3 linked regions of the Pelodiscus sinensis genome follow. The protein of the gene in region 1 interacts with the protein of each later gene in a pairwise test. Links are inferred from orthologs where the notes say so. Each region holds a gene or a part of one and is shown on either strand. Other genes may lie near its edges.

Region 1 (7,775 bases):
ACAAACATCAGAATAATACAAGTTTGTGCTGTGAGAGAAACTCAGAAAAACAGCAACAACATTTTTGATTAATTAAGGTTTCACTCATATGAAGACCCTAGTGTTTGGGTTCCCCAGATTTCATATTCACCTAATTGTAGGACTGTGAAAGTATTTGCTTTTTGGCACAAAAGAAGTGGCCCCAAAACTAGGGATTATCAGTTAATCTAGTCTACTACTTGCATTCCCCCCCCCCCCCATTGCCTCGGTATAAGAGACAGCAAGGGGGGGAGAAGCAGGGAGCTGGTGCCCCCCAGTAGCAAGTCTGCAGTGCCGCCTGCCCCCCTCCCCCGCACCACCATGCTGCTGCCTCTCATAGAGGCAGCAACATGGGGGAGAGAGGAGGCTGCCACAAAGCAGTCTCTGCCCATGGCGGACTCTGGCTCGCTGCTGCCAGAGGCTGTTCTGTAGGATGCAAAGCAACCTCTGTAGTAAGCCTGCTCTGCGAGATGCTGTTTCGGGGCAACAGCTCCTGTCCACAGGGGGTCAGAGCTCCCTGTGGACAGAGGCTAGAGTGTTTGGGGGGGCACCAGGGGAGGCTGCTGCAGAGCAGCCTGTGCCCTTGGCAGGCCCTGACTCACCATGGCAGGCCGTGACTGCTTCACGGGATGCAGAGCAACGTCTGTCCATGGGAAGCCTGTTCTGTGGGATGCTGCTTCACTGCAGCAGCTCCTATGCATGGTGAGCTCGGGCCTGCCATCAACAGAGGCTGGTCCCTGGCAGTAGCCCCAGTTCACAGAGGTCTGATCTCCCTAAAGACAGAGGCTGGAGTAGCCTCTGTCCGTGCAGAGCTCGGACCCATCACGGACAGGGGCTGCTATCACCCCATGCTGCTGCCTCTATATCAGAGGCAGCAGCACAGGGCAGCAAGCAGCTGGTCTACAAGGGGAGCTGGTTTTTAACTGTCTCCCCTCGTGGACCATTTCCCACCTAGCACTATGTACTGCTGCCTCTGATACATTGGACCATAGAATAGTCAACTAACCACTAAGAATTCGTGCAGTTAGTCAACTATTGTATTACCCAATATCTAACATCTCTACCCAAAACATTAATCTATGAAAAATCAGAATTATTAGATTAACTGATAAAGTATCCAAGGGGAAGGAAGATCCCAGTAAAGATTCTGAATTCCATTTGAATTCAAGTTTGGTATTTCCATTACTTCCAGAGATCTTTGGGACATTTTTACTTCAGCCCCAAGGCAGGACCTGACAGCCAGTGAAGTCCGCTGCAACTCCTAGCCACAACAGGTTGCAGGGGCTCCCTTTAAAAATCCAGCCAAGATGACAGGTAGGGGGGGACCTGCTGTGGTCCCTATCCAGGATGCCCCACAACTGAAAGCCACCATCAGGAGTAGTGGAAGGACCCTTACAGCTCCAAGCCTCTTCCATATGTGGGGTACCCCACATCTCTAAGCTGTTGCCAGCTGCCAGAGGACCCCACACTTGCAGTCACCATGGGAGGGAATCGTGGAGCCCCAGCAACCACAGATATTGGCATAGGTAGCAGTTATTGAAGGCAGCAGAAGGCTGAGCTACACCAAAAAGCCTTGTATGGCCTTTGGCCCCTCTCATGCTCTGCCCCCAGGTCCCTTCCTGCTTCCCAGAACTGTGCTGTGTGGGGGAGGTACCAGGATAGGGCTGAGGTTAATGAGGGCTGCCTGGTGCTGGGGGGCTATGCAACACTCACATAATACTCAAGGGCTGGGAGGGCACACCACCCATATGTGCTGGGAGGGTGATAACCACTTTGCACTCCAGGGTTGAGGGAAGAAGGTCTCTGGTAAGGATGCTAAAATGCGATTAATTGACTAGTCAGTTGACTCTGGGTTCCATGTGGCACTTCCCTGGACTCCCCAGCTGATCCCAGGTCCTGGGGAAATGCCATAGGGAGCCCAGGGTCAGCTGGGGAGGTCCCAGCTGACCCCGGGATCAATGGCAGCTGCCCCTTTGAATCGTGCGGAGGCAGTATTTTAAAGGGCCAGCCCGCTGCACAGCTGATCTTGGGATCAGCTATGCGGCCTGTTGGCTCTTTAAAACACTGCCTCTGCATGATTCAAAGGGGCAGGAGGGAAGCCCAGGGTCAGCTGGGAACTCCCCAGATGACCCCAGGCTCCCTGTGGCATTTCCCCAGGACTCAGGATCAGCTGGGGAGTCCAGGGAAGTGTCACATGGAACCCACAGTCAACTGGGGACTCTCCAGCTGATCCCAGGTTCTGGGGAAATGCCACAGGGATCCCAGGATCAGCTGGGAATCCCCAGCTGACCCCGGACTCCAGGGCTGCCCCTTTGATTCCCCGCAGAGGTGGTGTTTTAAAAGGGGCAGCCTGCCACACAGGTGATCCCAGGATCAGCTGTGCAGCTGCCACCTTCAGGTTTCAGAGCAGCAGTGCCACTTTAAAGTACCCCTTTTCCCCCCACCCAGTGCTGCCTCTATTTCATATAGGCGGCAAGGGGGGAATTGTCTAGTTGACATTACTATCTGATAAGCAAATTCTTATTGGATAGTCAACTAGTCTTTAACATCCTTCATCTGTGGGCCACACTACCCACATGCCAGGCACTCTGGGACTGCTGGAGGAAAGTCATATTGCATACTCAAGAGTGCTGTGGGGGGAGAAAGAAGGGTTCCACATAGGAGTGAGGTGTCTGGACTTCAGTGGAAGGAAAAATGCCTCAGGCAGAAGTGACAGGCCAAGGGCTAACCATCCTGAGACCAGGGTTCACCTACAACCTGTGTGTTCTAGACCCTCCTCCTTTCCCATTTTGTCAGTTATTTTTATTAAAAGTCAGGGACTTATGTGAATTTTTAGTTGTTGCCCATGACCTGCCTGTGACTTTTACTAAAAATAATAATAACAAAATCTTAGCTTACCTCTTGCACAGCTGTGCACACAGTGGTCCTTTGTCCGATGGTCAGGATGTACAAGTGCCACAACTTGCTGTTGCAGTTAATAGATTTAAGCTTTCTCTGCCAAGTGTTTTTGCAAGTGCTCTGGAGACACAGGATTCTTTCTGTCCATCATCTCAAACCTACCCAGCTGTAGGGATGTAAAATCCCATTTAATCATTTAACTGGGAAACCACATGAAGGGGGTGGGGCAGAGGGTAGGCTGGAGCACCTTCCTTCCCTGCTGCAGGTGGGGGCTATTCCAGCCAGGATGGAGCCCCCCTGTGTGAGGAGCACCAGCCCAGGCTTGCTATATACAGGGGCTGCTCTACCTGGGCTAGAGCACCCCCTTCCCACATTGGACCTTGCTGGGATAGAGCAGCTCCCTGCCTGTAGCAGGTGGGGAGCTGTTCCAGGCCCCATCAGTTAATTGCAACTGGCAAGCCTTGCTGGGTGATGCTTACCAGTTAACCATTCACATTCCTACTCAACATCTTGCCCAGCCACCTAATCCAGGTGCTACCAGGTGAGTTTGGTGAAGATTGCCAAGCAACATGCAGAGTTTAAAAGAAAATGCACTTCATTCCTTGCTGACACCTGCTTTTGTAAGAGGAAAAAAGAGTCATAGAATTTTTTTTATTCAAAAGGATGTTTCTCCACCTGTCTAGATCATGACAGGATTGCTTTTGTATTCTTAACCCACTGCTAATAGTATTAAATAGGTCCACTAATGGAAAATTTTCTCCTTTAGAAGTTCAGTTACTTTATAGCTATGTTTTCCCACTTATTTAACCATTTTTCCTACTGCATTTTCAGACCTTTGTTCCGTGATATTGTCCTTGTTGTGACAAGAGAATACTGATAGTATTCTCTTTATAAGTTTGTGAAAAGGTCAGTCCCATTCCTGGGCCCCTGTTCAACTCAGTCTCACCAATTATTTAGGTACTGTGGCACAGGCCACTCTTGCCCTTGCTGGGGTTTAGATTTCTGTCCCTCAGCTAGAAGGGCTTTGGGGCAGGTGCCCCTTGATCTCCCTAGGCTGGGTAAGCAGACCTCCCCAGCCATTGGCTGAAATGCTCAAGCTACTTGGGGAAGGGAGCCCAAACAGTTCCCGTCAGAGCTCCTGACCTTCCTTGCTATCTCCAGCAACACTGACTTCTCTTTATTAGCATCTCCAAGTCTCTCCTTATCTGCTATCATTTCTCTCACTTTTCCTGGGAGTAGAGAGGAGGGGAAGCTTTTAAAAAGACCCTGTTGCAGCCTGAAGTCAGAGCAGCTGGCCCTAATTGGTTTATAGTAGCCTCATCTCAGCTGCTCCCATTCCACCCATGATAATTCCAGGACCATTTCTGCCTTTTAAAGCTGCCTCTCTCTCCTTTGAATCAAGCCCTCTGGCCTGACCTTGTCACAAGTTATATAATTAATTGCTATTCCATTTTCATTTCTCCCAATTATATTTAGTGTATTTTTTAACTTCCTGTAAAATATGGGCATTATTTTTCCATTATTGTTATTTTTAGTGTTCCTGTCTGACTTGTCTCTAATTTGGCCATATTTTTTTAAACCATAGCACTCCTGTTACTTGGGCTATAATTCTACTCTGAAAAGTATGTGAAGATTTCCTTTTTTTTTTTTTGCTAAGATGCTCTTTTGATAGGATGTTCAAAACTGTCCTCACATGGTTTATTAGTGGTTTACAATTGTGTGTCAACAACTCTTATCAAGCCTGACATATACAATGTACTCCAACTCGTTGTCATAATCTCTATCTAAAAGATGACACATAAAGTATATGCAAGATAGTGATACACTAGTCTTGAAAATCATTGTGTGGTATAGGCCAAGCCCGTTCCCCACTATCCATCTGCCTCCCCTGCCCTCTGCAGAGATGATGTATCAGCTCCAGCTCCCTCCCCTGCCTTGCTGCTTCTGTTAAGGGCAGCAAGGCCGGGAGGAGGGGAGGGGGGGGACTGCTAATGCCTGTGATGCACATGTTATTTCTGTATTCCATTTCTGGAAAGTAGTGAACAGAAAGGATGAAACAACTCTATCAGGTGACTTAATTACTATAGTTTCTTTGACACCAAGATAATCAAAAGCCATAAGGCACATACAGCATGCATTCAGAAGCATCCTTATGTCTGTTTACTCCTGAGTATTATATAAGTCTTGAGCTTATTCAACCTCTACCAGTTATGGACTTTATCATAGAATCAGAGGATAATAGGACTGGAAGGGACCTCGAGAGGTCATTGAGTCCAGTCCCCTGCCCTCATGGCAGGACCAAATACTGTCTAGACCATCCCTGATAGACATTTATCTAACCTACTCTTAAATATCTCCAGAAATGGAGATTTCACAACCTCCCTGGGCAATTTATTCCAGTGTTTGACTACCCTGACAGTTAGGAACTTTTTCCTAATGTCCAACCTAAACCTCCTGTGCTGCAGTTTAAGCCCATTGCTTCTTGTTCTATCCTCAGATGCCAAGATGAACACGTTTTTTCCCTCCTCCATATGACACCCTTTTAGATACCTGAAAACTGCTATCATGTCCCCCCTCAATCTTCTCTTTTCTAAACTAAACAAACACAGTTTTTTCAGCCTTCCTTCATAGGTCATGTTCTTTATACCTTTAATCATTCTTGTTGCTCTTCTCTGGACCCTCTCCAATTTTTCCATATCTTTCTTGAAATGCGGTGCCCAGAACTAGATGCAATACTCCAACTGAGGCCTAACTAGCGCAGAGTAGAATGGAAGAATGACTTTTCATGTCTTGCTCACAACACACCTGTTAATGCATCCGAGAATCATGTTTGCTTTTTTGAAAATAATCAGCATAACGGCATTGCGCAAGAGGGTTTTTCTTGCGCAAGAAGGGGAAGTGTAGACGCTCCTTCTTGTGCAAGAGCCTCTTCTGCAAAAATGGCAGCTCATTAGATATGCAAATGAGGCTCGGCGATATTCCACGCTTAGCCTCATTTGCATATATCTGGCACAAGATCACGCCAGTGTAGACATAGCCTATGTGTGAAACTGATTGTTCCTTCCTAAGTGGAGCACTTTGCATTTGTCCTTATTAAACTTCATCCTGTTTACCTCAGACCATTTCTCCTATTTGTCCAGATCATTTTGAATTATGACCCTATCCTCTAGATTAGTCACAACCCCTCCCAGCTTGGTATCATCTGCAAACTTAATAAGCGTACTTTCTATGCCAATATCTAAATTGTTGATGAAGATATTGAACAGAGCCGGTCCCAAAACAGACCCCTGCGGAAACCCACTTGTTATACCTTTCCAGCAGGATTGTGAACCATTAATAACTACTATCTGAGTACGGTTATCCAGACAATTATGCACCCACCGTAGCCCCATCTAAGTTGTATTTGCCTAGTTTATTGATAAGAATACCATGTGAGACTGTATCAAATGCCTTACAAAGTCTGTATCAAAGCCTAGGTATACCACACCCACCTCCTCTCCCTTATCCACACAGGACTCGTTATCCTATCAAAGAAAGCTATCCAATTGGTTTGACATGATTTGTTCTTTACAAATCCATGCTGGCTAGTCCCTATCATCTTGTCACCTTCCAAGTGTTTACAGATGATTTCCTTAATTACTTGCTCCATTATCTTCCCTGGCACAGAAGTTACACTAACTGGTCTGTAGTTTCCTGGGTTGTTCTTATTTCCCTTTTTATAAATGGGCACTATATTTGCCCTTTTCCAGTCTTCTGGAATCTCTCCTGTCTCCTATGATTTTCCAAAGATGATAGCTAGAGGCTCAGATACCTCCTCTATCAGCTCCTTGAGTATTCTAGGATGCATTTCATCAGGCCCCGGTGACTTGCAGACATCTAACTTTTCTAGGTGATTTTTAACTTTTTTTTTTAATTTTATCTTCTAAACCTACCCCCTTCCCACTAGCATTCACTATATTAGGCATTCCTTCAGACTTCTCAGTGAAGACCGAAAGAAAAAACTCATTATGCATCTCTGTCATTTCCAAGTTTCCTGTTTCTGTTTTTCTCTCCTCACTGACCAGTGGGCCTACCCTGTCATTGGTCTTCTTCTTGCTTCTAATATATTTATAAAAGGTCTTCTTGTTTCCCTTTATTGCCGTAGCTAGTTTGAGCTAATTTTGTGCCTTTGCCTTTCTAATCTTGCCCCTGCATTCCTGTGTTGTTTGCCTATATTCATCCTTTGTAATTTGTCCTACTTTCCATTTTTATATGACTCCTTTTTTATTTTTAGATCATGCAAGATCTCGTGGTTAAGCCAAGGCAGTCTTTTGCCATATTTTCTATCTTTCCAACACAGTGGAATAGCTTCCATTTGGGCCCTTAATAATGTCCGTTTGAAAAACTGCCAACTCTCCTCAGTTGTTTTCCCCCTCAGTCTCGATTACCATGGGACCTTACCTATCAGCTTTCTGAGCTTACCAAAATCCGCCTTCCTGAAATCCATTGTCTCTACTTTGCTGTTCTCCCTTCTACCCTTCCTTAGAATTGTGAACTCTATGATTTCATAATCACTTTCACCCAAGCTGCCTTCCACTTTCAAATTCTCAACCAGTTCCTCCCTATTTGTTAGGATCAAATCTAGAACAGCTTCCCCCCTTCTGAAATAAAAAGTTGTCTCCAATGCAGTCCAAGAACTTATTGGATAGTCTGTGCCCCGCTGTGTTATTTTCCCAACTTATATCTGGATAGTTGAAGTCCCCCATCACCACCAAATCTTGGGCTTTGGATGATATTGTTAGTTGTTTAAAAAAAGCCTCATCCACTTCTTCCACCTGGGTAGGTGGCCTGTAGTAGACTTAGCCTAGCATGACATCTGC
Region 2 (7,512 bases), on another chromosome or scaffold:
TTCCTCTTGGTGTTCCTTTCTTTCCTTCTGCTTCTATTACTTGTGCTCTTCTTGCTGATCTCCTTCTTGGACCCCAGTTTATATAGTGACGCCTGAGTCCTGCTTAGCTACACCTTAACCCAGTGTTTCCCAAATGGTCTTCTGCAGAACCCCGGGGTTCCATGAAGCGAAAATAAGGGTTCCGCGAGAAAATTCCTTTACAATAACATTTTATGATTTAAAAATAATTCATATTTAAGCATTTATGAATTTTATTGAAAACAATTTTCATTTGTGTTTGCCACGATAAGTGCCCCTGTGTAATGCCAGCTTAGCCAGAGAGTGGGGACGATGATGTCACTACTCAGCGTTGTTGTCCATATATTAGATTGTTATTGGGAGTTCCGCAAAATTCTTTCAAGTTTAAAAGGGTTCCGTGGCCAAATAGAATTGGGAAACACTGCCTTCACCAATGATTTTTGTGTGATTATAACATACTGTAACAGAATTACCTAACCAATCATACCCCACCATCTTGGTTGATTTACACCTAGCAAAATTAATTATACAGCAGACAGAAATGGTTACAAACCGGACAGAGATCACACAGACAAACAATAGGAAAATGTGAGGCCAATAATCAAAGAATGAGGATTCCACAACCACAACTATTGATAAGCAGTTTCTTGCCAGACGAAATGCTGTTAATTAAGTTTTCTTTGCCCATCTTGAGATCTGTTTTCTTTATCTGGTGACAATGGGGGCCATTAGGACAAGGTCGCCTTTTCACAGCCTAGTGTGACACTATTTTAATGCAATTTAGATGGAATGTGAGGTTATGACTCCAGGCTTTCCAGCTAATGGCTGCTGCTCTCCACTCTGGCTGTAGAAGAAGGCTTTAGTTCATGCCTACCAATATGGCTACAGGCCTTCCAACATGGTTACAGAAAAACGATATTGCTACACCACTCTGCTTAGAAACCATATTGCTTATGGAACCTGTGCACTGTGTGTGAAGTGTGAATGAGAAATACCCAACCAAAAAGGCAGTTGAGGATCCATGATCTTTTCAGGCAGACAAAGACCCTGCGAGCAGATACATTAATGGACACGCAGCCAGAAAATCTCTCCCTCGCTCTTGGCCAAAATGTAACATCACAGCAGAAACCTGGGACATGGCCGAGTCTCCAGGAAGCGGTCACCTGTCCAGCACTCCAGCCACCAGCGAAATCTGAAGTAATCTACACGGCACTTGGCAGCCTGTCTCCAGACTGCCAGCATGACTGTGATATGTGTGAGTGTGGGTATGTCTACACTAGAAAGTTAGTTCGAACTAACGGACGTTAGTTCGAACTAACTTTCCTATGCGCTACACTAGCGCTTCGCTAGTTCGAATTTGAATCGAACTAGCGGAGCGCTTAGTTCGAACTAGGTAAACCTCATTTTACGAGGACTAACGCCTAGTTCGAACTAGCTAGTTCGAACTAAGGGCTGTGTAGCCCTTTAGTTCGAACTAGTGGGAGGCTAGCCCTCCCCAGGTTTCCCTGGTGGCCACTCTGGCCAACACCAGGGAAACTCTATGCCCCCCTCCCGGCCCCGGACCCCTTAAAGGGGCACGGGCTGGCTACGGTGCCCGTGCCAGGTGCAAGCCTGCCAGCACCCAGCTAGCAGACCCTGCACCTGGCACGGCACAGAGCCACCCACCCGATGCCCCCCAGCCCACCCCCTCTTGCCGGGACCAGGCTGGCGGCTCCCGGGAGCTTGCCCTGGACCGCAAGAGGCGGGCACCTTCCTGGGCTAGTGCGGACATCGTGGACCTCGTCCACGATCTCCGCACTAGGCACAGGAAAGTGGCCGGCTAGGGCAGGAGAGCTGCCAGCCTGGCCACCCAGGACCAGGTGTGCATGAAAATCAAGGGGGTCCACTGAGACCCCCGACCCTGAGCCCTGAGCTTACAATGGCCGTCCTGGGTCAGACCAAAGGTCCATCTAGCCCAGTAGCCTGTCTGCCAACAGCGGCCAACCCTAGGGACCCTGGAGGGGATGGACCGAAGACAATGACCAAGCCATTTGTCTCGTGCCATCCCTCTCCAGCCTTCCACAAACTTTGGGCAGGGACACCACTCCTACCCTCTGGCTAATAGGACTCCATGGACCCAACCTCCATCACTTGATCTCACTTCCCTTTCAACTCTGTTCTAGTTCTAGCCTTCACAGCCTCCTGCAGCAAGGAGTTCCACAGGTTAACTATTTGCTTTGTGAAGAACAACAACTTTCTCTTACTAGTTTCAAGCCTGCTACCCAGTCCTTTCCTTTGGTGTCCTCTAGTCCTTCTTTATGGGAACTCATGAAGAACTTTTCTGAATGCACCCTCTCCACCCAACCCCTGCTTTTAGAGACCTCTATCCTGTCCCCGCTCCATCTCCTCTTTTCTAAGCTGAACAGTCCCAGTCTCTGTAGCCTCTCTTCATCTGGGACCTGTTCCCAACCCCTGATCATGTTAGTTGCCCTCCCCTCTCCCAGCCTTTCTCTTCCCCTCTCCCACCTCCTTTTCCCAGTCTCCCCCAGTTTTTTTCAATAAAGACAGAGTCAATGTTGGAAGAAACGTTATCTTTATTTTGTACATCAATAAGAAGGGGGGCTAGGGAAGGGCAAGTGGAAGGAGGTGAGGGAGGAATGGGGTACGAGCCCCCGATGGGGAGGACTGGGCTGGCTCTGCGGGCTTCTGGGGGTGGAAGCTCTCCTGCAGCCCCCCAATTACTCCCTCTCCCCAGATGGCAGCCTGCGGCAAGTGCAGCCGGGCTGATGGCCGAGTGGTGTGATGTGCCCAGTGTGGGCACTCAGGGCACTCCAAGCCAGAACTTCTTTGCAAGCGGGGCACCCCTTAGAACTGTGTGTCCGGGGTGGGGGTCGGGACCCTTTAAGCGCAGCCCTCGGCTAGCCTGAGACAGTATCTCCATGCTCTAAGTCCTCCTTTTATGCCCTGCCGGCACTGCTTCCGGCCATCCTTAAGCCCTGTTCAGAGTCCACTCAATGTGGACTTACTAGTTCGAACTAGCAAAACGCTAGTTCGAACTAGTTTTTAGTTCTAGATGCGTTAGTTCGAACTAGCTTAGTTCGAATTAACTAATTCGAACTAAGTTAGTTCGAACTAGCGCTGTAGTGTAGACGTACCCTGTGTGAGTATCACTTGACTCTTAAGAATCTGTGCCAATAAACAGCCCCAGAAGCCATACTGCTCCAGGCCCACCCCTCCTTGTCTGGGTTTGTTCCTCAGAAGCTCTGAGGAAGTGTAACACAAAGGGATTTGGGGCTAGGAAAGTGAGGGGGGAGCTGGGCAGGAGTCAGGAGGAGCCACAGAGCTGGGAGGGGGCAGGGCTGTGAGAGCAGGGGGGAGGGTGAGCTAGGGGGGGTCAGGAGGGAAGGGCTTCAGCAGAGGGGGGGAGCTTGGAGCTGGAGTTGCAGGGCGGCTGTGAATCAGGATGGAGGGGCATTGGCACAGCTGCAGGGGGGCGGGGCGGCGCTTGGATGGCAGTGGCGCAGCTGAGCTGCATTAGAAGAGCTGGGTGTGGTGGGGGAGACAAGAGTGGAGCAGCAAAGGGGCCTGTAGGCAGCAGCTGGGCTGGGCAGGAACAGCAGGGGCTGGAATCTAGCTTGCAGGGACTTCCTCTCTCTTCCACCAGCTCCTGCCGATCCCCTTATCTCCCTGTGAGGCCGGGGGGCACAGGAGGGAAGCTGAGAGATGTGGGCAGGCTTCTAATAAGCATGTGGGGCCTGGACCTCAAGAGATATAAATGGCGTGATACCCATGTGCACCCACTGGGGAGCTGTCCCTTGCATGCTAGGCTATGGTGGAGCCAGAGAAACCCAGTCACTGCCCCCCAAGCTTCCCAAGCGTTGGGCTTCATTTCCTAGGGACTGTACATCCAGCACCTGCCCTCCCCAAAACGCCTGTGATCTGGGGAAGGGTTGCCCCCCACCAGCACTATGGGTGCAGCAGGTCTTTGGGCAGAGGTCACTGCCTGCCAAGGGAAATAATTCACCCAACTCCTGACTGTGGGAGGTAAATATTAAACAAGGGCTCCGTGGCTTGGACCCAGAGCAGCTTCTCGCACCTGGGTGCCCCAAGAGAGAGGGTTATTGGGGGCCTTGACTGGCAGTGGACAGGATCAGCGCGGGGGTCTTTATCAACAACCTGAGAGGTGAGTGGTCAGCAGTCTCGGGCTCTGCCTTTGGCGGGAACATTTCTCTATTTCGCTCAGTGTCCCCTCCCCAGCACCTGGCAAAAAGAAGGGGGCGCTCGGTGGAATGGAGCCAGGCTGATCAAAGCAAGGATTTGTGTACACCGCCAGGCATGTCAAACTGGCATCTGGAGGGCCGCATGTGGCCCCATTGAAGTTTTTTGGGGCCCGCCAGTGCATTTTCAGACAGACGGAAGTGCGGCCCGCTGGCCGCGTGGAGCACGTGACTGAGTGCAGGTGACGCCGGCTGGGCAGCTCTGCGCATGGCCCCCAGCACGTGGTCACAGCCAACCAGCCACTGTGCGCAGGGCCCGCAGCATGTGATCACAGCCAGCTGGCTGCTTACTCTCACTACCCCAGCGCCTAAGGAAGCGTGGCAGTGGCAGCAACAGCAATGTGACGACGGTGGTTCCAGAATCCAGGCATTAAGTTGTGGGGGGCTGAGGTATGCCTGTCTCTGGGGGAGGTGGGATGCATTAGGTTGGGAGGTGTCTGCCTCTAGGAAGGGAGGAGGCATTAGATTAGGAGGAGCTGGAAATCCTTGGCTCTGGGGGAGGAGGGAAGCATTAGGTTGGGGGCGGGGGGCCTGGAAGTTCCTGCCTCTGGGGAAAGGGGTAGGCATTAGGTTAGGAGGGGGCTGGAAGTCCTTGGCTCTGGGGAAGAGGCGGCACTGGACCACAGCTCTTCTACTCTTCCCCTTGTACAAGCATACAATTAAGTGTTATTTGCATGATGTCATGTACTGTTTCTCAGATAATATGACAGCATACAGGTTTTTTCCCTCGAATGGAATAGAATCAAGAGGACTATAATATATACACCCACAAGGGACTGATTTGTGGTTCTCAGTTTAATTTTCATCTTCCCTGAGTGTTAAGAACCTAACTGTACTACTGTGTTAATATTTGTCATATGATTTCCTTGGAATGTAGGCATTGCCAAATCAGCCAATGGGATCCTCTTGTCTAGTCCAGTACTCTAGGTACAAAAGTGGCCAATACAAGATGTCACAGGATGGGGTATGAGTGTGCTCGCACATGTCCACAAGAAACTATAGTCGACAGTTATCCCCGGATAGGGAATGTTGTTTCTTTACTCCCATCATTTTGAAACATGACCTGAAACATGGGTTTTAATCTGTTGTTTATCCTACCTATGGTATTTTAGATGTTCTCATTATCAATAAGCCTTTATCCTTTAAAAAAAATCTTACAAACTTTTGACCTTGCGGCTATTTAATGGCAGTGAGTTCCACAGATGAATTGGGTAAAAAGTTTCCTTCCATCAATATTAAATGTGTTGTCATTTAAGTAAATGTAAAAAGAGATTCAACGAAGCCAGGTGAGGGTGACTCATTAATCTTTTTAATGGCATTACAATACTTTCAGTGTTATTTCCGTTCCTTAAGGATTTCACTCTCCCTCTTCTCTTTTTAATGTGTCTATTACACATTAAGCAAATGTTCTCTTTTTTGTGTGAAACTGGTCAAAAGGAAAGGAAAATTGGATCTGTCTTCCATTGCAGCAGCAATGCTAATGACTCCCTTTTCACATTTTTCAAAGTGTTAATTATTCTGCTTTTTTAAAATATGGTTTCAACCATTGGTCCTGGTATTCAAGACCATACTCTTTTTTTTTAAATTCCAGGATACATTCCTAGTGCTTTTAAGATAGAAACAATATTCGCCACTCCCCAGTCCTCTGGGAAAGAACTTATTTTGATGAGATTGCTTAACTTCATGAGTAGCTCACCTAGTTCATTCGGAAATTTCTTCCAAACCCATGAGTCATTTCATCTGCACCTGTTGCTCTTAGATTTATCACTTTGTTCTAGCTGTCTCATCTTAAATACATCCACAGAAGTTGAGGAACAGTTTCTGCAGGAAGGAAATAACTTAGCTTCTTTGCAATGTCTTTATTTTCCTTTAATTTTCTGTTTACTCACTGCTAGTCTAGCAGACTCAACAATGTCTCTCAGGGTACGTCTACACTACAACGTTAATTCGAACTAAGCTAATTCGAACTAACGGATCCAGACTAAAAAACTAGTTTGAATTAACGTTTTGCTAATTCGAACTAGCATGTCCACACAGAGTGGACCCTGAACCATGCTTAAGGATGGCCGGAAGCAGTGCCGGCAGGGCATCAGAGGAGGACTTAGAGTGTGGAGATGCTGTCTCAGGCTAGCAGAGGGCTGTGCTTAAAGGGTCCCGACCCCCACCCCGGACAGACAGTTCTCAGGGGTTTCCCGCTTGCAAAGCAGTCCTGGCTTGGAGTGCCCGGACTACCCACACTGGGCACATCACAGCACTCGGCCATCAGCCCGGCTGCACTTGCCGCAGGCTGCCATCTGAGAGTGGGGGAAATTGGGGGGTTGCAGGAGAGCTTCCACCCCCAGAAGCCCGCAGAGCCAGCCCAGTCCTCCCCATTGGGGGCTCGTGCCCCATTCCTCCCTCACCTCCTTCCACTTACCCTTCCCTAGCCCCTCTTCTTGATGTACAAAATAAAGGACAATTGTGTTAAAAATGGAATCTGTCTTTATTGAACAAAACTGGGGGAAACTGGGAAAAGGAGGTGGGAGAGGGGAAGAGAGAGGGTGGGAGAGGGGAGGGCAACTAAAATGATCAGGGGTTGGGAACAGATCCCATATGAAGAGAGGCTAAAGAGACTGGGACTTTTCAGCTTAGAAAAGAGAAGACGGAGGGGGAACAGGATAGAGGTCTCTAAAAGCAGGAGTTGGGTGGAGAGGGTGCATACAGAAAAGTTCTTCATTAGTTCCCATAAAGAAGGACTAGAGGACACCAAAGGAAAGGAATGGGTAGCAGGCTTCAAACTAGTAACAGAAAGTTGTTCTTCACAAAGCAAAGAGTCAACCTGTGGAACTCCTTGCTGCAGGAGGCTGTGAAGGCTACAACGAGAACAGAGTTTAAAGGGAAGTGAGATCAGGTCATGGAGGTTGGGTCCATGGAGTGCTATTAGCCAGGGGGTAGGAGTGGTGTCCCTGCCCAAGGTTTGTGGAAGGCTGGAGAGGGATGGCACGAGACAAATGGCTTGGTCACTGTCTTCGGTCCATCCCCTCCAGGGTCCCTAGGGTCGGCCGCTGTTGGCAGACAGGCTACTGGGCTAGATGGACCTTTGGTCTGACCCAGGATGGCCATTGTAAGCTCAGGGCTCAGGGTCGGGGGTTTCAGTGGACCATCTTGATTTTCATGCACACCTGCTCCTGGGTGGCCAGGCTGACAGCTCTCCTGCCCTAGACGGCCACTTTCCTGTGCCTAGTGCGGAGGTCGTGGA
Region 3 (7,730 bases), on another chromosome or scaffold:
GCGAGCCTGCACTGCAGGTCACTATGCCACTCACTGAAATTTAGTCTGGCTGCCCTTCTGTGACTATGGAGGGGCTCTGGTTCACATTTCATAGCATGGTGACTCTGCAGTGGGAATGGAATTCCAGACTACTCCAGCAGCAACTGTATTGACTTAGAGGACCACTGGTTAAAACTGATCGTTCCTTTTCCCCTTCTCCATCTGTACTAGTGCAAAAAAACTTGGGGGAGGGGCATGTTCACCCCACCGTTCCCCCTCACTGGTGCCACTGTTTTTAAATCATAGCTTCCTGTACATTCTAGGAGCAGGCTGCAAACAATGTTCCCTCTCATTTTTCCATCCATATGCAGAATAAATTTTGTTATGTGCCCTGAGACATATGTGGATGTGCACCACCAGTAGAAACACATGCTGCTGACTATGGGCATCCCACTAACCAGCTGGGCAGCACCTGAATCTCTCCTGAATGGCCTCCCAGCTGATCAGCAGAGTGCCCACAGCTGCAAATAATTTTAATTGACACATTTGTGATGTTCCATGTTAAGTTTTTGTACTATTGCATATCAGTGTCATATATGAGCACCATATCTTCCTTCTGCAAATCATTACAGGGAACACTGGTTGCAAAGGAGGCTACAAATATCATTAATGCCAGTCAACATGGTTTCATGGAAAATAGGTCTTGTCAAACAAACCTGTTATTTTTATCTTTTGTTTTGTTTTCTTGGACAAGATTACAGGCTTGGTTGATGAAAGCAAGCGTGTGGATACAGTATATATGATTTCTCCAAGGGCTTTGACTTGGTACCATGTGACACCATGACTAAGAAACCTGCATTATAAATTAACAGAGCACCCATATATCTCAAAACAGAGTTTTTAACTGGGAGACCTCAATGAGAAAAGCCATTAATAAAGAGAAGTGCAAAGTACTTCACTTAGGAAGGAATAATCAAATGCACAGTTACAAAATGGGGAATAATTGTCTGGTGGCGGTACTACTGAAAAAGGATTTTGGGGTTATAGCGAATCAGAAAGTGAAAATGAGAGGCAGTTGCAAAAGAGGCTAATATCAGTCTGGGGTGTATTAACTAGAGTGTTATATGTAAGATGCAGGAGGCAATTGTTATACTCTATTGGGCAATGGTGAAGTTTCAGCAGGATCTGGGTACCACAACGGAGGAAGGATGTGGACAAATTGGAGAGAAGTCAGAAGCAAGAAACAAAATGATAAAAGCTTTAGAAAAGTTGACCTCTGAGGAAAAGTGTGTGTGTGTGTGTGTGTGTGTGTGTGTGTGTGTGTGTGTGTGTGTGTTTTATAGGGCATGTTTATGTAACCCACACACCTTCTGGGTGTGGTATATTGTCCCATGTAGTGGCACTTAGACCACTTAGAGAAAGAAATGAAATGAGGAAATGAGTTTTCTCTCCAGCCATATCTGAGCGTGAGAGGGCTTTATAGCTCAAGCACTATGATCCAGAGTTCCTAGGTTCAGTTCCATTTGTTGGTGTTACACTGAGCCTTGAAAAAGAGGACTGGATGGAGGGGTCCCTACACAGCAAAGCTATTCTGGAATAATGGCTGTTGTTTGGAAATAACTATGCAAGCGTCTACAAAGCAATTCCATTATTTCACAATAACGGGCAACTTATTCCAAAATCTGTAAATCTCATTCCATGAGGAATAATGCCTATTCCAAAATAGCTACTTCAGAATAAGGCATTTATAGATGCTCCACTTCTGCTATTTTGAAATAGCACCTCACCAGGGCCATTCTAAGTTATTCCTCTCCAGTGCCTCTTGAGGTTCGAAACTGAAGTAGCACGTCTACATTAGGGGAAGCCTGCCTCAGATTAATTTTGAGGCTTCCCTGCAGTGTAGACATAAGCTATTTCAGAATAAGCTATTTCGGAATAACTATTCTGGAATAGCTTATTCCGAAATAACTGTGCAGTGTAGACGTACCCAGGGAGCGGGGAATGTGATAGCAGTATTCAAATATGTTAAGGATTATTGTAAAGAGGACTGTGATCAATTGCTCTCTATGTTTACTGAAGTAAGTCAAGAGGAAATGGGCTTAGTCTTCAGCAAACAAGATTAGGGGGCTGGAGCACATGACCTATGAGGAGAGATGGAGGGATTTGGGCTTATTTAGTCTGCAGAAGAGAAGAGTAAGGAGGGATTTGATAGCAGCCTTCAACTTCCTGAAGAGAGGTTCCAAAGAGGATGTAGAGAGGCTGTTCACAGTAGTGACAGATGGCAGAACAAGGAGCAATAGACTCAAGTTACAATGGGAGAAATCTAGGTTGTATATTAGGAAAAAACTATTTCACTGGGAGGGTGGAGAAGCACTGGAATGTGTTACCGAGGGAGGTGTTGGAATCTCCATCCCTAGAGGTTTTTAAGTCTTGGCTTGACAAAGCCCTGGCTGGGTTAATTTAGTTGAGATTGCTCCTGCCTTGGCCTCCTGAGGTCTCCTCTAGCTCTATGATTCTAGGGATTTCAGAGGGAAAGAACAGAAGAGCAAACCACCCAGTATCCATCCCCTGCCACCTACTCCTAGCTTCCAGCAATCCAAGGCTATGGCCACTTGGAGTTGCATCCCTGATCATCTTGGCTAATAGTCCTTGCTGATCTGATCTTATCTATTTCTTTTTTGTAACCCCGTTATCGTTTTGGTCTGTACAACATCCCCCAGGAACAAGTTATAGAGGCATAGACATGGCTAGTTTATGCCCCTTTGTTCTTGTGCCATCATTGTTATTTAGCTTAAATAGCTCTTCTCCTTCTCTGCGCCCCCTCCCCCATATATTTATAGAGAGAAATCTGATCCTTTCTCAGCTCTCATTTTTGTAGGCAAAACAAGCCACACTCTTTTCTTTTCCTCTGTAAGACAGGAAATCCCTGGATCTTCTTAGTAGCCCTTGTCTGGACCTCTTCTAGTCTGAATTAATCTTTCTTGAAGATGGGTGATGTGATGGGGCGTCTACCCCACTCTGGCCCTTTAAGGGTAAAACCCAGCCCTGGGGGAAGGCTGAGAGCCTGGAGCCAGCAGCTGAGGCAAATACAGCCAATTAGGGCCCTGCTGGGGCTGTATAAATAAGGGCTCCTGGAGGCAGGAGAACAGATACTCTTTCTGGGGAGCAGGAGGTACTTAGCTGCCAGGGAATCTAGTAGCTGCCCCAGACGGAGTGGTGCTGGGGAGTTCTGGCCTAACCTTGCTCCCAGACTGCAAGGCCAGAGTGTACTAGGGCTGCAAGGGCACAGCCAAGATAGGAAAAGGCAGCAGGTCCACACCCCTTGCCAATGAGGAGTGGCCATTTCAGACTGCAGTTTGCCCTTCAGGTAAGGAGCTAGATGATGGCTGGCAGTGGGTCACTGAGGCAAGGTGGGCAGAGGGGAATTGGGGGTTCCCTGGGAGGGGAGGACCCCAGAGTGCAGGGGCACTGACATAGGACAGTCTGGGCATAGGCCTGTCTGAGGAGGAAAGGCATCATGGCCAGGAAGGGACACAGAGCGGAACCAGTAGAAAACCTACCCCACAGGCTGGGCCACCAACCAGCAGAGGGCACTCTGAGGCAGGAGTGCTGATTCCCTGGGTGCCCACCCTGTGACAGGTGACTAGTGTTGAAGGGAATAAAGAGAGGGAAAGTTTGTCCCCTGCTTAGCTGTGGTCAGCTGTGGGGGGAGGGGGGTTGTAGACACCCTGGCAGGAAGGCTGTGAAGGCACATCAGGTGATAGCTGGGAGTCTTTCCTCATGCATGAAAGAGCAGAGAGGTGTGAACTGGTCTAATGTTCTCTGCATTACCATAGCTCCCAGGGCCCTACTGTGACACCAGGTTTCCGTTGTTGTAGGGTCAACAAAAAAGACAAATCTCTGCCCTGATCCTCTTACAATCCAACCTGTGGATCACAAACCATGTGTAGGCAGGGCTGAAAACCATTATAGGCTCTATTGCTCTATTCCCTCCTAGGGAAGGACTGTTTCACCTTCGAGGGAGATGTAGAGCCTGCACACACCCTCATGCCCCAGAGGGGTGGATTGCCCCATTTCAGGTGGATTGCCTCAGAGCCTAGCCAGAGGGGCTGGTGTCTGTCAGTTCAAAAGGGAGAAGCTCCTTGTATCACTGATACACCCTGATCCTTTGCATGTGTGCTACAGGCCGGCTCTTAATCCAAAGTGGTGCCATCTAAACAGGATGGGGTATCCCAAGCAAGTCCATAAAATGAGGCACACAGGATATGTTTAGGCTAACACTTGCCTGCATGTGGAAGCCGAGGGGTATGCTTATTGCTGTGAAAAGTCTCCACTCTGCAAACCTTTACTCACCTCTTTAGCCCTGACTCCCCCTTACTGTTTTCAACAGAATGACTCCTGCCAGGAGTGATTGACGGGGGTGTCTAAGGCCTGGGTTCTCCAGCCTGCAACAGTCCCCTCCCCACTAGAAAGAAGTGTATAAACCATCATAGAGCACCCATGGATGCTCTGCTTTCTAGTACATCTCTGGGGCCCGCCTGTGGCAGGTCTCTGGGGCTGGCCAGTGGGGTAAATGTCACTAATCCGGATCTCTTCCCCCTCTCTGTTTCTTTTCTCCGTTCTCCCCTGCCCCCAACACTGCTGCTCTTGTGTCAGGCAGTGGCAGTGTTGAGTTCATTAGCGGAGCGCTGAGCCTTCCAGCCCGGCTGTGTGTGTGTGTGTTTGATCCTTCCTTTCAAAAACAAAACCTACTACTGCCGCCGCAAGTCTCCGGGAGCGAGAAAAACACACAGGGCACGGCGGGAGGAAGCCAGGGGCGCGGTGGATCGGTTTGAACAACTCCGCGCCGGCCCTGCCTCCTGGAAAGCCACAACAAATCACCCCAGGCAGCCGCCGGGAGAGCAAAGCGCAGCCCCCGGGCGTAGACCCCAGCTCTCCTGGAGCGGCCGGGCCGGGCAGCAAGAGCGCGGATCCTTCCTCCCCCCGCGCCTATTAACCCGCTCCTCCTCCTGCCTTCCCCTGCTCCGGGACTCGCGCCGCCGAAGGACTCCGAGGCGCGTAGGGGGAGCCATGGAGCTACCAGCCATCCCAGAGCAGCGCTTCAGCCCCGATTAAACTGCCGCGATCAGCAACCCCCCCAGCTCCGCCACCGTCCCCCTCTGCGCGCCGGGGGGGGGGGGGGGGGGAAAGGGGGAACCGCGTAAAAAAAGGAGCCGCTGCGTCTATCCACGGAGCCGCTCCATCCCTCCCAGAGCCAGGCTCTGACCCGGTGCCTGGGTCCCCCCCCCCTCTCCTTTTCCTCCTCCCCCTCCTCTTTGCCTTCTCCCCCCCTTCCCCTCCCCCTTTGCTCCTGTCCCAGTTTATGTCGGAGCCTGCTAAAATTAGCCGGGACTGTGAATTGGATTGACTCCGGCTCGCGAGACGCCATTTTCCCCCCTGCTCGAGCGATCCCTCTCTCTTTATCTCCCTCGCCTCTATCTCTCTATCTCCGTGCGATCCCCTCCTCTCTCCCCCCCTCCCCGCCTGCCTCCCCCCCCCCCCCCAGCGGCCCCGCTCGCTCCCTCCCTCCCTCTCCTGCGCTGCGCGTGTTGCACGCCCGTGTGCGCCCCTGCTCTGACAGATGAGCACCGCCATGGCTTTGCCGCAGCACCAGCAGGACCGCCGTGGGGGGCTCCGGCGAGGGATTGGAACCGGGATCTAAACGGGAAGAGGCGAGAGGCGGCTGAGGAAGCCGAGAGGCGAAGGCAAGACGCTCCAGTCTGGGGGCTATGGGTTAGTAAACACCGGCCGCGATGGGTGGAAATCTCGCGCTTGCTGATCTGGATTGCACTGGCGTAGTGTGTGCGCGCGCGCTGATCTGGATTGCACTGGGGTGTGTGTGTTGCACTGGTTTGTGTGTGTGTGTGTGTGTGCTGATCTTGATTGCACTGCTCTGTGTGTGTGTGTGTGTGTTGCACTGGTTTGTGTGTGTGTGTGCTGATCTGATTGCACTGCTCTGTGTGTGTGTGTGTGTGTTGCACTGGTTTGTGTGTGTGTGTGTGCTGATCTTGATTGCACTGCTCTGTGTGTGTGTGTGTGTTGCACTGGTTTGTGTGTGTGTGTGTGTGTGCTGATCTTGATTGCACTGCTCTGTGTGTGTGTGTGTGTTGCACTGGTTTGTGTGTGTGTGTGTGTGTGCTGATCTTGATTGCACTGCTCTGTGTGTGTGTGTGTGTTGCACTGGTTTGTGTGTGTGTGTGTGTGTGTGCTGATCTGATTGCACTGCTCTGTGTGTGTGTGGATTGCACTGGTTTGTGTGTATGTGCTGATCTTGATGCGCTGGTGTGTATGTGTGTGTCTGACTGTGGGATCTTGATTGCACTGTGTATGTGTGTTTTCTTTTGGCTGCATGCAAAAGTTAATGTATCCTGCCTTCCCACCCCATCCTTTGGTGACTTTGCAATGGCGCGGGAAGGTCTTTATTTTTGTCGTTTCTATTCCGCGTGTCTGTGATTTCCTCCTAATCCGGACTCCCCCCCCCCCCCCCAGTAGATTGGGTTTCAGTCTTGTGCTCCTGGAGTGGGTAGATTTTGTAGGAGTTTGCATGGGTGTCTTTCATCCCCCCTCCCCTGCACACACCTCTCCCTCCCTTAGTCTGGCTGAGCCCCTCTGATGGTGGTGTGGGGTAGGTGGCAGAAGTGTGTGTGTGTGTGTGTGTGCGGGAGGGTTGGCAGATTCTTCCCTCCCCTTTGTAAATTGCAGGTTAAGTGGAGCTAGAGAGCAACATTGTAACCTTGCTTGGCATTTTTTCTTTCCTTAAGATAGCCGAATTTTGTAATTGCCATAGAGGAGATGGGGGGGGGGGGGCTGTTGTGGAAGGGGGGGAGCAATCGTAAAGATTTCAAGTAGGGAATGAAAGCCCTTGTGTGTTGGTGTCCCCTTCCTTTACCTATCACACCAGCCCATTGAACAGTCCTGGCTTTATTTTGACATTGAAAAGGACACGCACTCCATAAAAGCAGCATTTCCCAGTAACACACAAGTGCGTGTGTGCAGAAAGCCAGGGGAGTGGGTAATTAACAACGCGGGATCCCCCTTCGTCCTCCCCACCCCTCCCTGTTTGTTTCAGAAGTAAACCGGGTTGTTAATAATACCCCCCGAGGTCACCTCCCTGCAATGAACCCGGGGCAGGACTGGAGTTTGAGGCAGTGTAAAAAGCCAGAGGCAGTTGGAGGGGAGGGGAGGAGGGAAAGGACGATGGTTTGTAAGATCAGTCTGCAGGTTAGGGGAGCTATTGTCAAATCCCAAGTAAAATCTCTCCCTCCCTTCCCTGCCTCCCTGGGAGAGCTGGGGCAAGTTTGGTTCGCCTGGCCGGGCGAGGGAAGACTTATCGCGCTGCGCTGCAAGCTCTGGGCTGATGTCCCCTCGTGTTGTGATGACCGCGCGGGAGAGTGTGTGGGTGTGTGTGTGTGTGTTGTACGTGGACTTGTGTGCACGCAGCATGGGGCGCCCGGCGTAGACAGGCCCCGGCGGGACAAGCGTGTTGTGTCGCGCGCGCGCCTGTGTATTTATGTCTCCAAAGGCAGTTGAGAGAAGGATTTCCGATTCGTTTCCGCTTCCAATACACCGCGCTGATAATCTCAGGGCGGGCGTCGGACGCGAACAGGGCACGCTGCTGCCAGGGACGCTGCTCCGGGGGCGTCGCGTCGGGGGGCGAGCCTTGCCCCCCCCCTATAGCCTGCCCCCCCCTCCCCAGCTAAAGTTCTGCAGGG

What was found.
Region 2: the proteins of PLEKHF2 (region 1) and ACY3 interact in binary tests that used the Homo sapiens proteins (3 or more experiments, as listed by UniProt). The two-hybrid records come from large-scale screens. The link is inferred for Pelodiscus sinensis from reciprocal best matches to the Homo sapiens genes PLEKHF2 and ACY3.
Region 3: the proteins of PLEKHF2 (region 1) and SETBP1 interact in binary tests that used the Homo sapiens proteins (3 or more experiments, as listed by UniProt). The two-hybrid records come from large-scale screens. The link is inferred for Pelodiscus sinensis from reciprocal best matches to the Homo sapiens genes PLEKHF2 and SETBP1.

What each region holds. Positions count from the first base shown.
Region 1 is NC_134712.1:39,749,209-39,756,983, forward strand, and holds the start of PLEKHF2 (pleckstrin homology domain-containing family F member 2), read right to left. Parts: upstream 3,064-7,775; 5' UTR 2,917-3,063; intron 1-2,916. UniProt on the Homo sapiens protein: May play a role in early endosome fusion upstream of RAB5, hence regulating receptor trafficking and fluid-phase transport. Enhances cellular sensitivity to TNF-induced apoptosis.
Region 2 is NC_134714.1:126,721,158-126,728,669, forward strand, and holds the start of ACY3 (N-acyl-aromatic-L-amino acid amidohydrolase (carboxylate-forming)), read left to right. Parts: upstream 1-4,467; 5' UTR 4,468-4,482; coding exon 4,483-4,664; intron 4,665-7,512. UniProt on the Homo sapiens protein: Plays an important role in deacetylating mercapturic acids in kidney proximal tubules. Also acts on N-acetyl-aromatic amino acids.
Region 3 is NC_134716.1:119,857,914-119,865,643, reverse strand, and holds the start of SETBP1 (SET-binding protein), read left to right. Parts: upstream 1-4,685; 5' UTR 4,686-5,723; exon of another isoform or gene 5,724-5,751; intron 5,752-6,616; exon of another isoform or gene 6,617-6,643; intron 6,644-7,730.